Macaca fascicularis: one gene and its partner. The protein of the gene in region 1 interacts with the protein of each later gene in a pairwise test. Links are inferred from orthologs where the notes say so. Each region holds a gene or a part of one and is shown in the gene's direction. Other genes may lie near its edges.

The links.
Region 2: the proteins of keratin, type I cuticular Ha1 (region 1) and CCNC interact in binary tests that used the Homo sapiens proteins (3 or more experiments, as listed by UniProt). The two-hybrid records come from large-scale screens. The link is inferred for Macaca fascicularis from reciprocal best matches to the Homo sapiens genes KRT31 and CCNC.

Annotation. Positions count from the first base shown.
Region 1 is NC_088390.1:62,440,500-62,451,657, reverse strand, and holds keratin, type I cuticular Ha1, read left to right. Parts: upstream 1-5,455; 5' UTR 5,456-5,524; coding exon 5,525-5,872; intron 5,873-6,071; coding exon 6,072-6,154; intron 6,155-6,503; coding exon 6,504-6,660; intron 6,661-7,458; coding exon 7,459-7,620; intron 7,621-7,713; coding exon 7,714-7,839; intron 7,840-8,015; coding exon 8,016-8,236; intron 8,237-8,906; coding exon 8,907-9,060; 3' UTR 9,061-9,352; downstream 9,353-11,158.
Region 2 is NC_088378.1:75,755,389-75,766,016, forward strand, and holds part of CCNC (cyclin-C), read left to right. Parts: intron 1-2,957; coding exon 2,958-3,013; intron 3,014-3,812; coding exon 3,813-3,848; intron 3,849-4,250; coding exon of another isoform or gene 4,251-4,274; exon of another isoform or gene 4,275-4,415; intron 4,416-4,533; coding exon 4,534-4,625; intron 4,626-5,258; coding exon 5,259-5,326; intron 5,327-5,435; coding exon of another isoform or gene 5,436-5,446; exon of another isoform or gene 5,447-5,520; intron 5,521-8,349; coding exon 8,350-8,429; intron 8,430-9,615; coding exon 9,616-9,734; intron 9,735-10,600; coding exon of another isoform or gene 10,601-10,628. UniProt on the Homo sapiens protein: Component of the Mediator complex, a coactivator involved in regulated gene transcription of nearly all RNA polymerase II-dependent genes.

The DNA of each region.
Region 1 (11,158 bases):
AAAGAGGAGGAGGAAAATAGAATCTATAGATGTTCATTGTTTCACCATTTACAAAGCACTTGTTAAAGTACTTTGTGTTGTATCCAAATGGAGGCCCCAAACAACCCTGAGAGAGGGGAACAGGCATCACAATCCCCCTTGTGCAGAGGGAGAAGTACAGTTGTAGGGAGGTGAAATGACCCCTCTGCACCTCACGGCAGGTGAGGGGCAGCTCCATGCACCCAACCCCAAGTCTTCTCATTTCTGTTCCCCTGCTCTTTCCCTGTTCCCAACTGTGAGGGCCTTGCTGGAGGTACATGTGGATAAAACTTTACATTCACGCCACTCTGAAATCCTGGATGGATTTTACGGGAAAGGCATCCTAGGGTCTGGGATCTCGCTAGGGGTGATCTTCTCAGTGCTGTCCCCCATTAGCATTTTAGACTCAGCTTCTGACCTTTCGCCATCGCCTGGAAGCTCCCCTGTTTGATGCTGGTTATTGCATCCAAATGTCCCTTTCCCTTCTTCCTCCCTAGTTCTTGGACATCCTATACAACCTGCCTCAGTGATTCACATTGGTCTCCAAGGCCCTCTGCCCTCAGGAGGTCTCTCTGGTCTCAAGGGGGCACAACTGTGTCCACTCACCAGCAGGACTGCGTCCTCCCTCTGTTTCCCTCTACCAGCCTTATTCCCCTTTCTATTTCCTCTGTCAATTTACTTGATTTACTGTGGTTACTTTTCTTTTTCTGCCCCACACCACATCCCTGGAATGATTTCTTATACTGCACCTGGCAAAAAGCATGTTTCATTTGCTTTGAAACTTACCTTGACTCCCATGGATCCTGTGGGGATGCCACAGGGCTGAAGAGATGGGCCATCACCACTGCCTCTCCCGTGGTCTGCAAAGCAACAAGAACCAGATGCCGAAACAATTCATTACCCTGCCTGGCTGAAGACTAGATTATTAAAGGGAACAAGATTCTAATGAGAACAGTTCTCTGAATCCTGCTTGAGTCACTTAGAGAGCGAAGCACAAACAACTCTTTGGGATACAAGTGCATAACCTGAAATAGCTTCATCTCCTCGCCATGTGGCTGAAAATCATGAGCTGGATTGGAATGCCCTAAATGGGGTTTGGGTCAGGGTGGGTGTAGGAAGAAATGGAGTGGGTAGGGGAAGGAGATATTTTTGGGTGAAGGCTCAATCACATTACATTATGTTAGCTGTGGACCTGTCTGCTTAGCAGGACTCAGAGTTCCCGGGTGGTGGGGACATGACATGCCCCCACTCCCCACAATGTCCCCCGCCCCTGGGACTGTAGATGTGCAGATGCACACAGTAGATGTTCAACAAGTGACTAATGCCCATAATGTCACACGTACATTTTTCTTTTTATTTATTTTTAATTTTTAGATGGGGTCTTGCTGTTGCCCAAGTTGGAGTGCCGTGGCATGATCTTGGCTCACTGTAACCTCAAATTCATGGGCTCAAGCAATCCTCCTGCCTCAGCCTCCAGAACATCTGGGACTAAAGTGTGCTCCACCAAGCCTGGCTCGTTTTTAAATTTTATTTTATTTTAATTTTTTTTAGATGGAGTTTCGCTCTTGTTGCCCAGGCTGGAGAGCAATGTTACGATCTCTGCTCACCGCAACCTCCGCCTCTTGGGTTCAAGCGATTTTCCTGCCTCAGCCTCCCAAGTGGCTGGGATTACAGGCATGTGCCACCACGCCCGGCTAATTTTGAAACTCATTTTTAATATTTTTTTGTAGACATGGGGTCTCGTTAAGTTGCCCAGGCTAGTCTTGAACTCATGGGCTCAAGTGATCCTCCCACCTCAGCCTCCCAAAGTGCTGAGATTACAGATGCAAGCCACTGTGCCCAGTACCCATTTTCTATTTACATTGAATACAAACATATTTCCAAATGTCCATCTTACACCTTCTAAATATCTCATCTCCTTAACTTCTGGCTATTTCTCATACATATTGGGGACCCATCTTGGCCTGAATTGTTCATAAAAAACATTTTTTTCACCAGAACTACGATTCTTTTGTTTTAGTTTAGTCTTATGCTCAGCATAGAGAAGCTGTGTAATAAATGTGTTCTGAATTAAATTGAACTAAATAATGAATGTGGGTTTGATAGCCCACTGACTGCTCAATTTCTCCTTGAATGAAAAAAATTTGCAACTATTCCAACTAGGAAACTAAGAGAATACATGAATTCTATCCCTTGCCTGTGTGAGGTCATGGGGACCTTACAACCCTGGGGTCCCATTTTCCCCACTAATTCAAGGAGCAAATTCACTCAAGCCCACTGAGATCTTAGAAACACTGCAAGAAAGAAGCTAGATTTACAAGAGATGGCAGCATTGTGTTTACTCACCAGCCAGTCTCTCTGTGGTCCCCATCCTGAATTCTTGTGCCACTTCACATTCTGCAGGGCAACCAGCAGGGAGAAAAAGGAATCTCTAGGAGTAACCAGAAGATAACAGGGGTCGCTTGTTCTCTCCTGCATCTTCTATGTGGCTGTTGATGGGCCATGACCTGCAGCCAGTGCAGGACTGACTCTCCCTGCTTCATTTCTCCTTTCTTCTCTTCCCACTCCTTATTCCTTCAGGAACAGGCAGTGTTGCTCCTTTTAGACCTTACACTGCCTGGGTGTAGATGGCAGTATATTTCTCAGCCACAAACAAATCTTAAGCTGGATCACAGAGGTGATGCTTTGGTCTGGACACCTTGGAACAATGTCACTTCTTTCAGAGGCCTCAGAAGCTGCAGTCCCGTGTCCATAGATCTTTTGAGTCAACTCGATTTATGCCTTGCAGGACACTCAGCATGGTGGGCCACTCCTCAGTCTATTGGCTTATTTTGCCTTGGCTTCTTCTCAGCTTTGCATTCTCCAGGTTAGCCCCTTGGAAGCTGGGCTAACTTTGTCTGATTTGTTGCATGATTCTGAAGATTCTTCCCTCCTAACTTTCTTCCTTGTCTCTTCTTTTTCTTGTTATCTCTCCTCGTCTCCATCTCTTTCCATTTTTCTGATCTCTCTGCATTGTACAAAAATTCTATGTTTGCTTTCTTGTCAATCCATTCCTTGAATCTTCTTATACTTAGAGCCTAAACACTCTTCTTTGACTACAGTCTCCATGAGGCTATGCCGGCCAGTCAGTAGATAGGACCCAAGAGCTTGGAGAAAACTGCTGGCATTTAGTCTGGGCTTAGGTTAAAGCCTCCCTGGCTGGGGAAGAAGAAAGGGCTGAGGAAATAGCTGCTTGCTGGAAAGCCAGTGCTTGGAGCAGGCTGACAAGAGTTAGGAAGCAGAAGGCCTGTGCTGTCATCTATAAGCTAGTGCTCATCAATCAGATGCATGAGCCTTTCCATTCACCCCAAGCCCAGATGAAATGAGACAGAAGCTCCCCACAGACAGCTGCCGCCTAGCCTTGCGTCCTTCCTCTGGAAAGTCTCAAGGGTAACAGCCTGTAGACCCGCCTATTTCTCCACGTTTAATTGTCTTGCAAGGAAACAAAGAAGTATAGATTTTATTATAAGTCTAGATCTTCCTTGTAGTGCTGTGGGTCTTTTCATCTGAATGGCATTATAATAAGCAGTGATAATGGTCTTGGGGAGTGTAGATGAAGGACCTTTTATCTGAGACCCAAGCAGAGTGTGACATGAATACCATCATGAAAGCTCAATGGGAGAAGCACTCCAATAAGTTGTCAATAAAACGGCAGCTCTGGCTGGCAGCCAAAGCCACAGTGGAGATGGGGGTGCTGCCTCCAGAGATGCAGGTGGTACCTGACGGTGCCTATAATTATGCAACTTTTATATATTCAGAACTTTGGCTACCTCTTCCTCAGATCTTCTAGTGCCTTCCTTCACCTCCCAAAGCAACCCCAAGTGACTCCAGCTTGCCTTGCAAAACCCCCTTGCTCATGCCGTGCTCAGCATTTTCTTTCCCGGTGCACAGGTCCTTGGATTTAATTATACAACCACAGAGACCTCCTTTGGTACCTTTAGACCTTTGGTTCTTAAAGCAGGGGGCATCTACAGTAGGGCTGGAGATGGGAAGCCCAGGACAGAATATAGCCCATCTTCCTGGTGTATCCTTTTCTCTTAGTGAATTGGGCAAAACATTTGAAAGTTTAACTGGAAATTTAAAAGGGGCTTTTAGAAAACATTAAAGCCAACATGGATATATTATGGAATATAGGGTCAATTCACATGAAGTTTAAAGATCAAATACATGTGATTTCATGCCTGTGGAGGCCCCTTTGGGCTATCTCCTGACTTTCCTAACATATCCATCTACTCTGTTTGGATACTATGGACACCCGAAGAAATGTTTGACAAACACCTCCTTATTCCTTTCTCTCTCCTTATTCCTTTCTCTCTGCCCCTAAATATCTTTTCTAGGTCATTTAAATGCCTTTTTCTGTTTGTTTGTTTTTTGAGACAGAGTCTCGCTCTGTCACCCAGGCTGGAGTGCAGTGGCGGGATCCTAGCTCACAGCAAGCTCCGCCTCCCGGGTTCTCACCATTCTCCTGCCTCAGCCTCCCGAGTAGCTGGGACTACAGGTGCCCGCCACCACACCCAGCTAATTTTTTTTTGTATTTTTAGTAGAGATGGGTTTCACTATGTTGGCCAGGATGGTCTCAATCTCTTGACCTCGTGACCCGCCTGCCTCGGCCTCCCAAGGTACTGGGATTACAGGCATGAGCCACCACGTCCAGCCTTAAGTGTGTTTTTTATGGCTCTCTCAGTTTGCACTTTTCAGCCTTCTTTCAAAATGATCTCTTACCCTAGAAACTTCTCTGTTCTCAAACTAGTTGTCAAAGCCTCTACCTTTAAAATTCTCTCCTCTACAATTTTCTTAAGTAATATGCAGTGTTGGCGGGGAAGTATTACACGGACCCGTAAAACACAAATTGCTGTCTAATATTTTCATCCCTGTCCTCCATTGATTCTAGTCATCCACCTTAAGGCTTCCAAGGCATGGAATGCTCCATCATTTGAAGATTCTTCTTTAAATGAAGAGGGAAACACAGTCCACTGTGGCCTCTTAATGCAACTTCTTCCTCAAACCAATCCGTGTTTCTCCCTAGAAATGGCAGGTGGACCAGGACATGAGTATGTTTACGGGCCTGCAGGATTATGTGACACAAAAGAATGTCATTGGATGGATCAACACCTCAATTAATGAGGGCAGATACTTGGGCTGGACTGTGTAGCCTCTTTGAAGGCCTACCACAGAACTCTGATTTCATGGGTGGACTGTCTGCGGAGGAGTCCTGACTTAGCAAGAAGCCCAAGTAAAGAATTTTATGGGACAAGGGACTCTTCTGAGGAAGGCAAATAACAGACTGAAGGAAAGGGCGTTTGAAAAGAAGTGAAGAAATAAAAAGAAAAAAGACATTACATACTGTGTCCACACCCTCTGCAGTGGGATATAAATGCTCCCTAGAGGAAGGAGACCCACAGCTCTGTGGCTTGGAGAATTTAGACTCTGTCTTCAGCCAGGCACTCACTCCCTCCCTCCCAGCACCATGCCCTACAACTTCTGCCTGCCCAGCCTGAGCTGCCGCACCAGCTGCTCCTCCCGGCCCTGCGTGCCCCCCAGCTGCCACGGCTGCACCCTACCCGGGGCCTGCAACATCCCTGCCAATGTGAGCAACTGCAACTGGTTCTGCGAGGGCTCCTTCAATGGCAGCGAGAAGGAGACCATGCAGTTCCTGAACGACCGTCTGGCCAGCTACCTGGAGAAGGTGCGTCAGCTGGAGCGGGACAACGCGGAGCTGGAGAGCCTCATCCGGGAGCGGTCCCAGCAGCAGGAGCCCTTGCTGTGCCCCAGCTACCAGTCCTACTTCAAGACCATCGAGGAGCTTCAGCAGAAGGTGAGGGGCATTGCTGTCATCTCCAAGCAAGAGAGTTTGCAGTGATTCTGTCTGTGATAGAGAAGTGTGTTTCTTGCTTCTGTGCTGTCATAATTCTTGCTTCCTCTTTTATTTCAAAATGTCTTTTTAAGTCATTTTTAAAAAGTTGATGATGTCATATTTATTTTCAGTCCTCACTAAGCCACCTCTCACTCCCCAGATCCTGTGTACCAAGTCCGAGAATGCCAGGCTTGTGGTGCAGATCGACAACGCCAAGCTGGCTGCGGATGATTTCAGAACCAAGTGAGTTGTTCGGAATTTGCACTAGTGTCCATTTCTTCTGTTTAATCTTTAGTTACAGAAAAGGGATTTCCATGGCTGTACTGAAAAACAGATCTACCCACTTGCTGTGAAGGATTCTGCAGAGGATTGGGGAGAACCAAGCAAAGAAATCACAAAAATAGATGAGGACTCACATCAATCTGTTTGTTTTGGGATGAATATTGGGTATTGATGGAGCCTCCAGAAACCTCTGTCTCCTGGGCCTATTCATTACAGAAAGTGGAAAGATAAGGCACATGAGGTTATCAAAAATCATTCCTGTGAGTGTTGAAGATCTACCAAGTAGTGCTCTGACCCGCTCCTTGTGCAGGTACCAGACTGAGCTGTCCCTGCGGCAGCTGGTGGAGTCGGACATCAATGGTCTGCGTAGGATCCTGGATGAGCTGACCCTGTGCAAGTCCGACCTGGAGGCCCAGGTGGAGTCCCTGAAGGAGGAGCTGCTGTGCCTCAAGAGCAATCACGAGCAGGTGAGACTAGAAATCAGAAATGCACAAACCTGTCTCAGCCTCTGACTCAGGGTAGCTTTAGTGATTAGGGGCAGCAGAATGCAGAGTATGAGTACAAGGCTGAGGGTTTCCTTTAAAAACATCACGGCAAGAGAAAAATTGGAGAGAGATAAGACCTGTTCATGTTCCCAGACAGGAAACATCTTTCACTTTAAACTAGCACATTCTTTGAGTTGCCCAGAGCAGCTCCATGTGCTTGAAATTGGTCAATAGTTATAGAATGAGTCCTAGCATTGCAGTGTTACTGCTTTGCAAAGTCTTTTTTTTTTTTGCCAAAGACCAAGAAAAAAAATCAAACCTTATAAATGTGAGTCTCTACTCTTTCAAAGTATTGGCGAATAGTGTTTGTGAGCTTCTTCCTCTCTCTCCTGGGAGGGGCCATGATATGCTCTTATCTCTTACTTGACAACAAGAGTTTTTTGATATACGGTCTGAAATTGCACAGCCAATTTTATTTTTTTTTTGTATGCTGAGGTCCTCACAGCCAGTTGTAAACTGGGAAAGTTGAACCTCAATTAGTCCATCCTTCAGTGGCATCCAAGCAAACTTTTGGGATTTTTTTCTGAAGCCAAGTGCCATGGCACAGCAGATGGTGGGGAGGGGGCTATGCCACATGGAGTGCCTTGAGCTGTCACAGACTGCTCCACTCAAAGTTTCTGTTCTGAGAGAACAGACTAACAGGGCTTCAACAAGCAATGCCATTCCTTAGAGTCCATTCTTTGCTGAGCATAGTAACTCTTGTATTTTCTGCATCCATAGGAGGTCAACACCCTGCGCTGCCAGCTTGGAGACCGTCTCAACGTGGAGGTAGATGCTGCCCCCACTGTGGACCTGAACCGGGTGCTAAATGAGACCAGGAGTCAGTATGAGGCCCTGGTGGAAACCAACCGCAGGGAAGTGGAGCAATGGTTCACCACGCAGGTGGGCATCTAAGCACGTGGCCACTCAGGACCCAAGGCCCACCCTATGGCCCCAGAGGCAGGGTCTGATCCTTTCTCCCCTTGGGTGTTTCAGACCGAGGAGCTGAACAAGCAGGTGGTATCCAGCTCGGAGCAGCTGCAGTCCTACCAGGCAGAGATCATCGAGCTGAGACGAACGGTCAATGCCCTGGAGATTGAGCTGCAGGCCCAGCATAACCTGGTGTGTATTGTTCTGACCTGCTGGTGAGCAATGGGAAATTGGAAGGCAGAGTCCTGGGGATGCCCTTGGGGCCACACACTCTCCTTAGCTCTTGGAGCTTGTGACTTCCTTGGAATCCTATGAAGAAACCCTTTGAAGGAGCAGCTCTCTGACATTCCGGATCTTCCCCACCACAGCGAGACTCTCTTGAAAACACACTGACTGAGAGCGAGGCCCGCTACAGCTCCCAGCTGTCCCAGGTGCAGAGCCTGATCACCAATGTGGAGTCGCAGCTGGCGGAGATCCGCTGTGACCTGGAGCGGCAGAACCAGGAGTACCAGGTGCTGCTGGATGTGCGTGCCCGGCTAGAGTGTGAGATCAACACGTACCGGAGCCTCCTGGAGAGCGAGGACTGCAAGTGAGTACATGGGCAGATGTATTTGATGAAGCGGTGCACGTGTGAGTGTAATACTCAGACACAATGCAAAGATTGCATACCTTGGAAAGGAAATTATGCCTTCACACTAGACATGCTCAAACAGAACTCAGACAATATAATATGGCCATCATTTAAAACATAAATGGTTTGGTAGCAAGAGTTGTTTGATGTACAAACTGAAATTGCACTGCCAAGTCTTTGCATTCTACTATGATAATATGCATGACTGCATGATATGTGATCAATGCCTTACTTTTTACAATACCGTATTGTCTAGTGGGTACATTCCCATAGACTACCTGATTTGATCTTATAATTACCACCAGGTGGGCTGGATCAGTATTTCCTCCAATCTATAGGAAAGTAAACTGGGGCTTGGAGAAGGTAAATGACTCAACCCATGTCATCAGTTTGGCATGAACGGATTTGAGAGTAGACATCAGAGTTTCAGAGTTTCTGTCTACCTTGGTGCTCTATGGCAGGGAGACCATGAACAATGTGAGCTATCTTTGTAGCAGGGGAGCCTGTGCCTTCTCTGTTCTAGGCTGGGCCAAGTCCTGACAGGCCTTCTTACCCTTGGGGATATCTCTGGCATATGATTTTAAAATTTTCCTTAACTCATCTTTCCACATCATTCTTTTGTCTCCAGTCTGCCCAGCAATCCCTGTGCCACGACCAACGCGTGCAGCAAGTCCATCGGACCCTGTGTCTCCAATCCCTGCACACCTTGCGTTCCTCCTGCCCCCTGCACACCCTGTGCCCCACGCCCCCGCTGTGGGCCCTGCAATTCCTTCGTGCGCTAGAACCTAGGAAATGCCGGAGGAGCAAGGATGCAGGGCCCAGGACTGCAGAGCTGTGACCTGGCTCTGGTTTAACAAAAGGGGCCTGAAAACATCATTTGCATGGCTGGAGTGGCCCCCGTAAGGCAGCCGAGAAACTTACCCAAAGCCTGCAGCCTCCCCAACTACTCTAGACTGTCCTGCTCACCCTTTCCTTCCTGGGGGTCTGTTCCTTCCTATGCTCACCCAGAGAACTCTCTGATGTCCCCATGGCCCTCCCTTTTAACCTCCTAATAAATATAATTTCCTTGGCAAAGCAGATGCCTTTTTCATTTGTATTCATTTGTTTCAACGTGCTCATCACCTGAGTAAGCTGTAAAAAGCCACTTGAAAGACAGGCCATATAATGGCCTGACTCTTGGATCCCAGAGCAGTTTCATGCCTCGGGGGCAGATGGCGAATCTGGTGCCCTGGACCCAGGAGCGAGGCAGGCAGGCCTGTGAGAAGGAGGGTGGAGGGGCTGAGTGCTGCAGTCCCTATCTCCCCCTGGTCGTTCTTGGATTTTTCCTTCTGACTTGGACATCTCCCAGAGCTGCTTGTATCCAAATCTGAATGGAGGAGGCATGAGCTGTGCGCTGGAAAGAAGCTCTGGAAAACTCATCTTCTTCCAGTGGGAGTTTCGGGTTCAGTGCTGTATTATTCTGGGTTATTGGTGGTCCAGGAATTTCCCAGTGAAGAGACCCTCTGACCTGCCCTCCTGTGCCCAAGAATTCCTCCTTTCCCTTGTGTGGGTCAATCATTATCAGCCTGGGCTTCCAGCTCCTCTCTTCCTTCCTCGACTCCAGGTCTTAGAGACCCCATCAACTCTTTATTTGATCCTTTGGCCTTTCTCAATTCAGTCCAACCAGTACCTGTTGAATAGCTACTCTGTGCAGACGCTGGGTGGTGGATTGGGGAGAGACACATGAAGAAAGACGCAGTTCCTGACCTCAACTTATTTATAATTTTTTAAAAGGGATAAAACTAGTCCCCGAGTGGTGCTATTGTAAGGCCCAGTTCCCTGGCACTGTGAACAGCTGGTGGGTGCTACAAGGAACTCTGAGTACTGAAAGGGACAATGCTGGCGCCTGATGGCATCAGTGTATATCAAGAAAGGGCATCTTTCTTTGACTCTCATGAAGACCCATGAAAGTGCTTAACTATAGACTTCCTGAAACCTCAGAGGGCCATTATGATCTGAAGGGATCAGAGGTCTCTGACTTTTCCCAGCACACCAGGCTTTCCTAGCAGGAATCAGACTCCACTTGGGTGAAACATAGTCCTGTGTCCTAAAATGATCAAGTGAATTGAAATTGTATATATATTTGATAAAGCAATGATTCTCTCCACCATAATTTCTCCCTTGATTCTTCTTTTTAAAACTCAAGTTCCAGGATGGATTTGGATTCGTGCTTTGCTGCGTGGCTTGTGAGAAGCCTCTGACCTGGAATTCTGTCTCTACTATGATTCACCCAGTGTCTGTGATTTCCTCCAAACCCAAGGTCAAGCTCAGTCCAGACGGTCTCTCTCATGTTGCTTGTTTCCTTTCTCCACATCCTGCTTAAGTATATTATTTTACAATAATACAAAAGTACTGCTAATAGCTCCTGTGGTAGACAGAATAATTGTCCCCTCCATCTCTCACCAAAATGTTCATGTTCTAATTCCTGGAACCTGGGAATATGTTAGATTACCTATAAAAGGAAATCGAAGTTGCAGAGGGAATTAAAAGTTGCTAATCAACTGACTTTATGATAGGGAGATTATCTCGGATTATCAGGTGGACTCAGGGCTCTTAAAAGTGGAAGAGGGAGGCAGAAGAGAGTGAGAAGGAGAGGAAACTATGGACATAGGTCAGAGTGACGCGATGTGAGAAGAACTTGCCTTGTCCTTGCGATTTGAAGATGCAGGAAGTGCGTCATGAGCCAAAGAATGTAGGTCGTCTCTAGACCCTGGAAAGAGCAAGGATTCTCCTCGAGATCCTTTAGAGAGGAACACAACCCTGCCAGCCCTCTGATTTTTTCTTATTATGGTAAAATATGCACAACATAAAATTTACCATTTTAGCAATTTTTAAGGTACA
Region 2 (10,628 bases), on another chromosome or scaffold:
CCAGTAGCGGTGAGCTCACCTAGTACCCATGTCTTGGTTTCTAATAAAATTCTCCAATAAAAGGTACCAGGGCTCCTTGGAGAAATGGCTGATTCTAGGACTGGGGCAAGAAATACACAAGATGGACCTGGACCATCTCATAATGCCAGTAATAAAGAAGTATTCAAAACAAACAAGAAAAACAAAAACCTACATTGATGAGGATATGTCAGAAGGATATAGGAGCCAACTAAGAGAGCACTGACCAAAACTGAAATAATTTGACCATCAAAATTTTAAAAATAGCATTGGGTAATAACTTAAAGTATAAACTAAATATCCATGAGTCCATACTGATATAAATAAATGAAGGAGAAAAGACATGTCTTCCATGCTGAAGAATTCCAAATAATATATGTAGCTACCCTGCCCTCAAGTAGAGGGAGCATAACTCCCACTCGTAAGGTGTTGGCTATACATGTGTACATATGGAAAGGGAGGAGAAAAGTAACTTTACAGTGGGGAAACCTGACAAATACTGCCTTAGCCAGGCGATCAAGGTCAATAGCAACAGTGATAAATCACATTAATACCATGTATCCTTGATGTGATATGATGAAGATGGTACTTTGTGGTCTTCCTGTCAAAAACCCATGTTCTCTAGTCTAATGAGAAAAACATCAGACAAATTCCAGTAGAGGAGCATTCGACAAAATACTTGACTGGTACTCCTAAAAACTGTCAAAGTCATCAAAAACAAGGAAAGGCTAGAAAACAGTCACAGCCAAACATCCTGAGGAAACGTGACAAATAAATGTAATGTGGTATCCTAGATGAGACCCTAGGATAGAAAAAGGACATTGGTACAAACTAAGGAGATCTGAACAAAGTACAGAGTTTAGTTAATAATAACATTTCAATATTGGGTCAGTAATTGTATCAAATGCACCATACTAACGTAAGATGTTAGTAGTAGGGGAAGCTGGGTGAAGGCATGTCTTAGTCCACTTGGGCTAATATGAGAAAGTACCATAGACTGGGTGGCTTTCACAACAGACATTTATTTCTCACAGTTCCGGAGGCTGGCAAGTCTATAACGGTGGGTATAAGAGAACTGTGCATGATCTCAGTTTTTGAGTCCACAAAAATAAAAGGCAGAGGAATATAATGAGGTAGAGTTTGTTTTGCTTTTTTCAAGGGAAGTTTGAGCATATCAGTATGTGATGGAAGATTTACTGAAGGAGGAAAGGTTAAAGATGAAAAAAAATAGTAGGAGTTATCAATTGAATAGATGATAACAAATGTATAAGTGGTAAGACAAACAATAGAGAGGAGGGAGGCATTTTTCTCCAAGTTGAAAGAAAAGGATTAAAAGATAGAAAAAAATGCAGAGCAGTTTTAGCGTGGAGTAACAGATATGTTGTGACAGTATCAGGTAAATATATTCTCAATAGAGGTGTTAGTGTCCAGGTCCAGGGGATGGGGATGTAGATTTGTTTTATATACAGAGGTAATTTTACTTTGTTGATTGTCTACCATTATATAAGAACCTGTTTTCCTGGTATACTTTACATCACAAGGATTTGTAAAACTCAGAAACCTTAATAGGTACGTCTTAATTTAAATAAAGGAGAGAAGAAAGGAAAGATTATAAATTTACTAATGTCAAGTTTAAATTTTTCTAGGTTTCAAATCCTGGCAGATATTACGCATCTAAATTAGCTGTAGGGCACTTAATTTGCAAAACAAATCTTTTTGAAAATATACTGCATAGACGGAATGGAATTTCTTTTCTTTTTTTTTTTGAGATGGAGTCTCACTCTGTCACCCAGGCTGAAGTGCAGTGGTGTGTTCTCAGCTCACTGTACCCTCCACCTCCCAGGTTCAAGGGATTCTCCTGCCTCGGCCTCCCGAGTAGCCGGGACTACAGGCGCATGCCACTACACTTGACTAATTTTTGTATTTTTAGTAGAGATGGGGTTTCACCATGTTGGCCAGGCTGGTCTGGAACTCCTGACCTTAGGTGATCCACCTGCCTTGGCCTCCCAAAGTGCTGGGATTACAGGCATGAGCCACCGTGCCTGGCTAGAAATGGAATTTCTTTTAATTTCAGTGAGATCACTTGGGCTTTGTGCAAATGGAAGCTGACACCAAACATTTTTTAGGACCTGTCAGTAAATACTTGGTTGAATTGAATGTGTCATAATGGCTTGAATACAATTTCTCAAATAGTACTTATATGTATATGCTCACACCATTTTAAAGAGATGGGGGATTGATGGTTAACATTGTTTTTTCATTTGTACTTTAGTGACTAACCAATAAAGTAATAGATAATAGAGTACTACTTTATGTGTTACTACTACTACTTTGAGTAACTTTATGTGTTACTCTAGAGTTTAAAACTCTAGAGACCTTTGCACATATATTAATGCTTTTATTAAAATATATATTTTGATAAATACCTGGTCATTGTAAAAAGTTTAGAAAGTGCAGATTGGTAAAAAGTTCTTAAATCTCACAGATAACCACTGTTAACATTTTTTTGGTATACTATCCTCCCAATATTTTATATGTATATGTTTTACCAACTATATATATTGTAAACACATATGTAACCCCCGTGTTCCTTCTAAGCGCAATCACTGGAAAACAGAAGAATACCATTCTATAGCTAAAAAGGTTTTAGAAATATAAAAGCCAGTGATTTTTTTTTTTCCTGATCTTTTTCTTTTTTAAACATCAGAACCCTTTCTCAAGGTAGTAAATATAAAATTGAAGCTGTGTAGGGTGTCCTGCCACCTAGTCTTTCCCCTTCCCTGAAAATAAATAAAAATCTGTGTCCCTAAGTATTGCCAAGAATTCCTACTGAAAATAATTTTGTTCTACCCTCTAATATTCTGCTCTATTAAAGGAATTTTGAGTTAATTCATTTCCCATTTTCTCAGTTTAAATTGTTTTTTGTTTTTTTTCTGCAGTAAAAACTAGATTTTCATATGCCTTTCCAAAGGAATTTCCTTATAGGATGAATCATGTAAGTATATGGTATAAAATAGAACACTTATCAAAGCTATATATAAATTAGCTCTATACTATATTAGACTAAATTTAGTAGTTTCCTAGAAATGGCAGTTTCAAATATTACATAAATACAGACATTATTCTAAATTAAAGCTAAATAACTTTTACCATTTAAAAAAATACTTCATAGTAGTGATTATCAACCCTGGCTGCTCATTAAATCACCTTGGGAACTTGTAAATAATACTGATGTTGGATCCTTTCCAGAACAACAAAATCAGAATTTTCAGGCTTGGGGCTCCCAACATTGGTACTGTGTAAAAGCTCCCAGGTGATACTACTATTCAGCTGGGATTAAAAACTAATGGAACAATATGAAATATAAGGTGAGTTTTTATTGACATTTTAATAGGTATGTCCTTTTTCCACCTTGCAAGGGATTTGTTTATTCTCTTTAAGTTACATTTTTTTAATTAAGTAGAAATAATTGTATTAGAAAGTATACTGGAAAATCTGATGGTTTTACAGGATATTTTAAATAAAAGTGAGTAATAAGAATGATTGTGAGAAGCTGGCTTTTCCTTACAAGGATTAAAATCTTTATAATCATAATTGCATGTATAATATAGTAATTTTTTATTGCAGATATTTATTTTAATATAAACTATGTTTATTGTCTGGATTTTAAAAACTTTTTAGTAAACATTTTTAATAATTACTATAATGTCTGTAATTTATGTTAGATTAAGTGGATGGACTTATCTAATTTGGTTTCATATTAACATTTCATTGATAATCTTTGTTTTCAACAGATATTAGAATGTGAATTCTATCTTTTAGAACTAATGGTAAGTAAATCTTCTGTGATTAATAGATTAAAACATTTTTAAAATTTAATGAAGTTGGAAATTATTTAAAGAAATTATTTTAGGGAGGTACATTTTAAAACCATCCACCTGATATGTGATGGTGAAATCATGGTAGCCTATTTATATTAGCATCTAGAGTCTCTCTGATGCCTGTAAAATAATTTGTATATCCTACTTAGGGATGAGAAAATTTTTCTGTTCTATAGTAAGTAACTATAATGAAAGGATTACAAACAGACAAGTCAGGACATTAAACCACCGTAAATTATGTGCACAATTTGTGTGTGCGTGCAGTGTTATTTAAAGATAGATTATGTCTTTGGCAGAATTCTGCTCCTCCAGTTGGGAATTATGGATTTATAGGCTAATAAGAGGTTTCAGTGTGTTGCAGATGTGACACTTTGAGTCTCTAAGGGAATGAATGGATGCTGACTGACTGCCAACCGATTTATCAAGGTATATTCCAGAGAGAGCACTGCCTTCACTATTATAGTAGAGTTTAGGGCTGTCATACTGCTTGCTTAAGAGAATAAAAGGGAAGCAAGCATGAGTTAGTGAAATTCACTTTGAAATACACAATTACAAATCAGTTGGGTAATGATAACATTTTTGTGTTGTAATAAATCTGTTTTTTATACATACACATTTTTTAAACTGTTTCTAGGATTGTTGCTTGATAGTGTATCATCCTTATAGACCTTTGCTCCAGTATGTGCAGGACATGGGCCAAGAAGACATGTTGCTTCCCCTTGCATGGTAATTAGAACAGAAGTTATTAATAGTGTAACGTGTTATTAGATAGGAAGGTTGACAATTAAATATGAAGTCCAGTATATTTAAAGTCATTAAACTATTGCCCCAAGATATTTTATGTTGAGCAAAATACCACTTGTTGAATTTTAATAACTATAGTGGTGTAAATGCCAAAATGAAAACAATCCTAAATTATCTGTTCCATAAATATACCTATTGAAATTTAATTTTATACAAAACACAGACTGTTAACATAAAAATTAAGACTGAAGCTATCTTTAAAGTAATCAGAATACTTTTTGGTAGTATGCAACATACATACAAATTTACTGTATAATTTCTGTTTTTCTAATTTGATTTTTCAAAAATTAGAAAAATGTGTTTATAATTTGTTATGAGATTTTGAAATTTAAAATATATTTAGCTGTAATTTTATTCATTGATACGTGCTTATTTGTTATCACATTCATGTATCCATCCTTTTGCCTTGATGTTTTCACTTTTATAGCTGTGCTTCAGTAATATAAAAGGAAATAAATGTGTGCAAAGATGAGAAATCTGGCCCTCTCTGGAGGAAATGTACAACCAGATGAGGTAGTTCTGCTTTCAGTAATAATATGATTTACATTTCTATAGGAGGATAGTGAATGATACCTACAGAACGGATCTTTGCCTACTGTATCCTCCTTTCATGATAGCTTTAGGTATGTAAGCATGGTGTGCCTTTATTAGTTAAATTAGTTATAAACCTATTTAGGTCATCCTAAACTAAATTTCACCCTGTTGTACTTTGTGTTTTTATGTTCCATGAAGTAATAGACTAATCCTTGCATGTGAACTTTCAATAATATGAACTGCAACTGTCACAAATCAGGATTATTATTCCCCCACCCCCTTTTTTTGGTAAGTTTTTTTTTTTAAACCATTCAAAATAGTTTTAATCAGTGTCTGAATAGAACATATTTGTTTATTTAGAGGGAAAAGTTCAGAATTAAGCCAGCTAATATTAGTTGTAGCATGTAAAATAATTGGGCCTTTCATATCTTGAGCCCAAACAAGTACTCAGAGGTTGTGTAAAGGAGCATCTGTGGTCCATAATGCTTGGCTGGAGGAAGAAGTTAGATACATTCATTCTACTGTCTGTGGAAAGCAGTGCTGTAATGGGTGGAGTCAGATAGTCCTAGGCTTAAACTTTACTTCCTTTACAATTGTGGGAAAATTATCTGACCTTTCCGTGTTTGTTTCCTTAATTGTAAAATGGAGAGAATACTAGTAATTCCACTGAGCCATTTGAAGAATTAAATGAGATAGCTTGTACAGCACCAAATAATGCCTGTTATATATTGGGCACTTGTTAATTTTGTTCCTTTTCCTTCTGTTGATTTTTTTTTTTTTTGAGATGGAGTCTCGCTGTCTCCCAGGCTGGAGTGCAGTGGTGTGATCTCAGCTCACTGCAACCTCTGCCTCCTGGATTCAAGCGATTCTTCTGCTTCAGCCTCCTGAGTAGCTACAGGAGGATTATAGGTATGCACCATCATACCTGGCTAATTTTTGTATTTTTAGTAGAGATGAGGTTTCACCATGTTGGCCAGGCTGGTCTTGAATTCCTGACCTCAGGTGATCCACCCTCCTTGGCCTCTCAAAATGCTGGGATTACAGGCATGAGCCACCGTGCCCAGCCCCTTCTATTGATTTTTATAACTCCATCCTCTTGATTTTCCCCTCTTATTTTCCATTGGTTTGTCTTTGTTCAGTTGTTAATTATTCCTTAAATGTTGATGTTTCTTGGCCTTCTTACATCAGGGCTGACAAATAGGTTATACTTACACTCCTCTATTACTGGCAGCTCCCTGAAAGGACTGGATTTGAAAGGATTTTTGAAGTGGTGTCTGGGTTCAGCGGGTACGAATACTGGGATCTCTATAGGTAGGAAGGAAGGGATAACAACATGTGTCACATCTTTGCCATCCCTGCAGTTTTCTTCTTGGGTACTTTCCATGAGATTCATGGCTTCTACTATCACTTATGTGCTGAAACATTTAAATTTCTTTATTTAGCCAAGATCTTGCCACTTTTCAGTTCTTTATATCCATCTTCCTTTTACATAGCTCCACTTGGCATCCCAGCAGCACCTCAGCCTCATGATGAGGATTGAGCTCATCACTTTGCCCCAAAATATGTTCCTCCTTTTAATGTCTTTGCCAGCTTGGTGAATAGCACGAGTTATATACCTTAGTTGGAAACCCAGCAGTTAGGCCCTTTCATCTCCCTCAATACCCACATGTAGTTGTTTACCAATACATTTTGTGCCTTCATCTCAATTGTTCCTTCTGTAATCTCATAGTCATCTCATTTCTATCCATGTTACCACAGCAGTCTCCTAACTGGCTTATTAGCCTACAGCACTCCCACCCTCAGAGAGCCTGTCTATCCTCCAAACTGTTGAGTGAAGCTAGTGGTTTCACCTGGGGATAATTTTGCCCTGAGGGGACATTTGGCAATGTTTGGTTTTAGTTGTCATAACTAGGGTAGGGTGCTACTGGCATCTAGTGCGTAGAAGCCAGGGATGCTGCCAAGCATCTTGTAGTATTCAAGACAGTATCAGAGAATTGTTCAACCTAAGATGTCAGTAGTGCCAAGATTGAGAAACCTGGAGCCAGCCGAATTCATCTCCCAATTGATATACATACTATTCTCTTCTCCCACTCTTATTTTTTTTTTTTTTGTTAAGACTTGGCTTAGATATCTCCCAGTGACCCTCCCCCACCCTTTCGGCATCACCTCAGTCTGGGTTTAGGATCCTTTCTCGATCTCCAGTGTACTCTATGCATGCCCATGTTAATAGCATTGTCCACTGTATTTTAATTTCCTGTTTTTATCATTTCAGTCCTTTAGTTTTTTAACCCCTTCTTGACTTAAGCCCTACTCATAGCTTTGCTTGACTTAGGGCAACCAGTGTGTCAGTTCACATTTGAGTTGCTATTTGCCTAGAATGTCATCCTTAGCAAAGACATATGGATAACCAGACCAAGGAGTATAACTTAAGCTGGGGTCAGTTCAGGATATCCAGGCTGCTCAGTAGAAATTGTTTTAGGCAAAGTTGTGATGTAGATTGTTCTCTTTTGTTTATATTGTATATAACATATATAACTAATTTTGTATACAGTATATTACATTTTTTTTCTAACTTTTATTTGATTACAACACTGAATTCTGTAAGGATGTGCCCAGCTTTCACATAACTTGATCATATGCTAATAATGAAAAGGAAGAAAAAAGACGAGGCAACACTGCTTTTAACTGAAATGTGGAAATATAGTCAACATTGTTAAAACCTAGTGTATTAATTGACATTTTTGTTTGTTTTTTCGCACTGACTTCTGGGTGCAGTTTAACTGCTGCTTTGTACACTACTCAGAGATAACTTCCCTTTTCCATTCTCCTCACTGAATGTTTTTTCTCTTTAACTTGCCTGACTCTCAAGGCAACTGCACCGTGACTAGCACGCAGCGAGGACCAGATGTCAAGAACTTGATGTAATTAGTAATTTTTTCTGTCTCGGATTACATTGTTGAGGTGGTCAATGGTAACTCTCATATGTAGCTGTTTAATTTTTTTTAAAGAGTGTTGGAAAATACACAGGAAATTTTTTAGTGAAAAATCTTTGTTAGGTCATATTCTGTGTTTGCAGTTAAACATGGATAGTTGTCTTTCATTTTCATTTCAGCTTGCCTACATGTAGCCTGTGTTGTACAGCAGAAAGACGCCAGGCAATGGTTTGCTGAGCTTTCTGTGGATATGGAAAAGGTATTCTGTAAAATTCCCTTAGTTGTATGTAAACTTGAATGTTTAAAAATTAATGTCGTATGTACTTATCATGAGCCTAAAATCTTATGATGTCCACCAGGCTAAGAAGATTATTGGTTACAAAATATTAAGAAACATGGGCGGGGTGTGGTGGTTCATGCCTGTAATCCCAGCACTTTGGGAGGCCTAGGTGGGCGGATCACCTGAGGTCAGGAGTTCAAGACTAGCCTGACCAATATGGTGAAACCGCATTTCTACTAAAAATACAAAAATTAGCCGGGTGTGGTGGCATGCAACTGTACTCCCAGCTACTCGGGAGGCTAAGACAGAATTGCTTGAACCTGGGAGGCGGAGGTTGCAGTAAGCTTAGATCATGCCACTGCATGTGAGCCTGGGCAACAGAGCAAGACTCCGTCTTAAAAAAAAAAAAAAAAAAAAAAAGTTTGGTAGGAAGACTTAATACTGATTATTTAAGCTATGTATCTCTTTTCAGTTTAGGATTAAACAGAATGGTAAACTTTTGGTTTGATTGGTTGCAAAGTAGCCTCTAATTCCCAGGATTATTTTAAAAGCTCCCTGGTAACCACTGAATACTACTGTGAACTTCTGTAACATAACCTATCTCCTGGCAAAGTGGCTTTTGCTGTGTTTCTAGCTTTTGTGCTCAAGTGTTAGATGCATTAAAATTAATCCTAAGGTTAGGTTCTACTCAGGTGGGAAAAAACGGCTAATTTGGAAACTAGTTATTTCAAATTTGTAGCTGCCAGTTTTTGAACACCTTAATGTATGTGTAGTTAACAGAGAATCAAAACATCTTTTGTGCACTACCCCCCCATTAAGTTGTTTAAAATAATTTATACTAGAGGAGTGTGCCCTATAATGGTATATTCCCTCATGATTAGAACCTTTATTCTTAGTATGTTTCCGTTTAAAAGATATCATCAGATGGAAGGAAATCAACTGCAGAGATAGATAAGAATGGACAATGCACACATGCTGAAAAATGAGAGGCTAGAAGGAAAATCCTAAACAGCATTGTGGTGAAAAATACTGCTTTCAAATTTATCAGGATTTAAGGACAGAGACTACTCTTTTCTGAGGGTTGTGTAGTAAGTGATGCGCACTCTTTATATAATAAATGTTGCTTGTTTTTGCCACTGAGAACTTCTCAAATATTTTCTTCTAGATTTTGGAAATAATCAGGGTTATTTTAAAACTATATGAGCAGTGGAAGAATTTCGATGAGAGAAAAGAGATGGCAACCATTCTTAGTAAGATGCCGAAACCAAAACCACCTCCAAACAGGTACTTTGTAGACTTTAATTATTGATGTCATTTAATTATATATCATACTTACCATATTTTTCTTAGATTATGTTGTTTTGTAGTTTTTAAAACATTTCTTCTAAAACTTCATGATCCATGTTAATTTAATTTTTTAAATTTGTGATTTGATTGAAAATGTCTCATTTTAAAAAAATCGCTAATCTGATTAGTAACTTTTCCTAATGCAGTGAAGGTATATTACAGGTATCTCTCAACATATGGTCATATACCATAAATTTAAAGCTGACAGAATTAGGCAAGTTCATCTGAAATTCAGGGCAGAATTCAGAACTATAGTAGTTTCATGTCAGTTTGACTCTGTGCCATCTTTTTTTTTTTTTTCCACTGCCAGCTATTTGTCCTGTTTTATAAATTTCAGTAGCAATTTTCAAAACTTTCAGTGAATGATCTGATATTGTAAAGATAAAGAATTTTGGTTTTAGAGTGACCCTAAGATCCACAGCACATAAGAATATATTTTTGCTAATAATGAATCACCTGTGCTAAGAGGGTTTTTGCTGTTGTTATTGGGTGTGTGTGTGTGTGTGTGTGTGTGTGTGTGTGTGTGTGTGTGTTTTAAGTAAGATCTATTCATTTAGTTCAGTGGTTCTCCGCCCTCACTGTGTATCAGTTCATGTGGGGCAGGGAGAAAAAGTCAGAAGGGAAATAAAGAAATGCCATCCATTTTAATTGTTTCTTTAGAAAAATGATTGTTATATAACAAGATAGATTTATGGATTGCTACTGATAAGTTAATGTTACAATTTGGAAAAAGTTAATACTTTATTCAAGGAGCTGTTTAAGGCAGTCATTCAAACAGCTACCTTTGGATGCATTTTTTGCAGAAATTCCCTGAGTGATTCTCCACTAGTG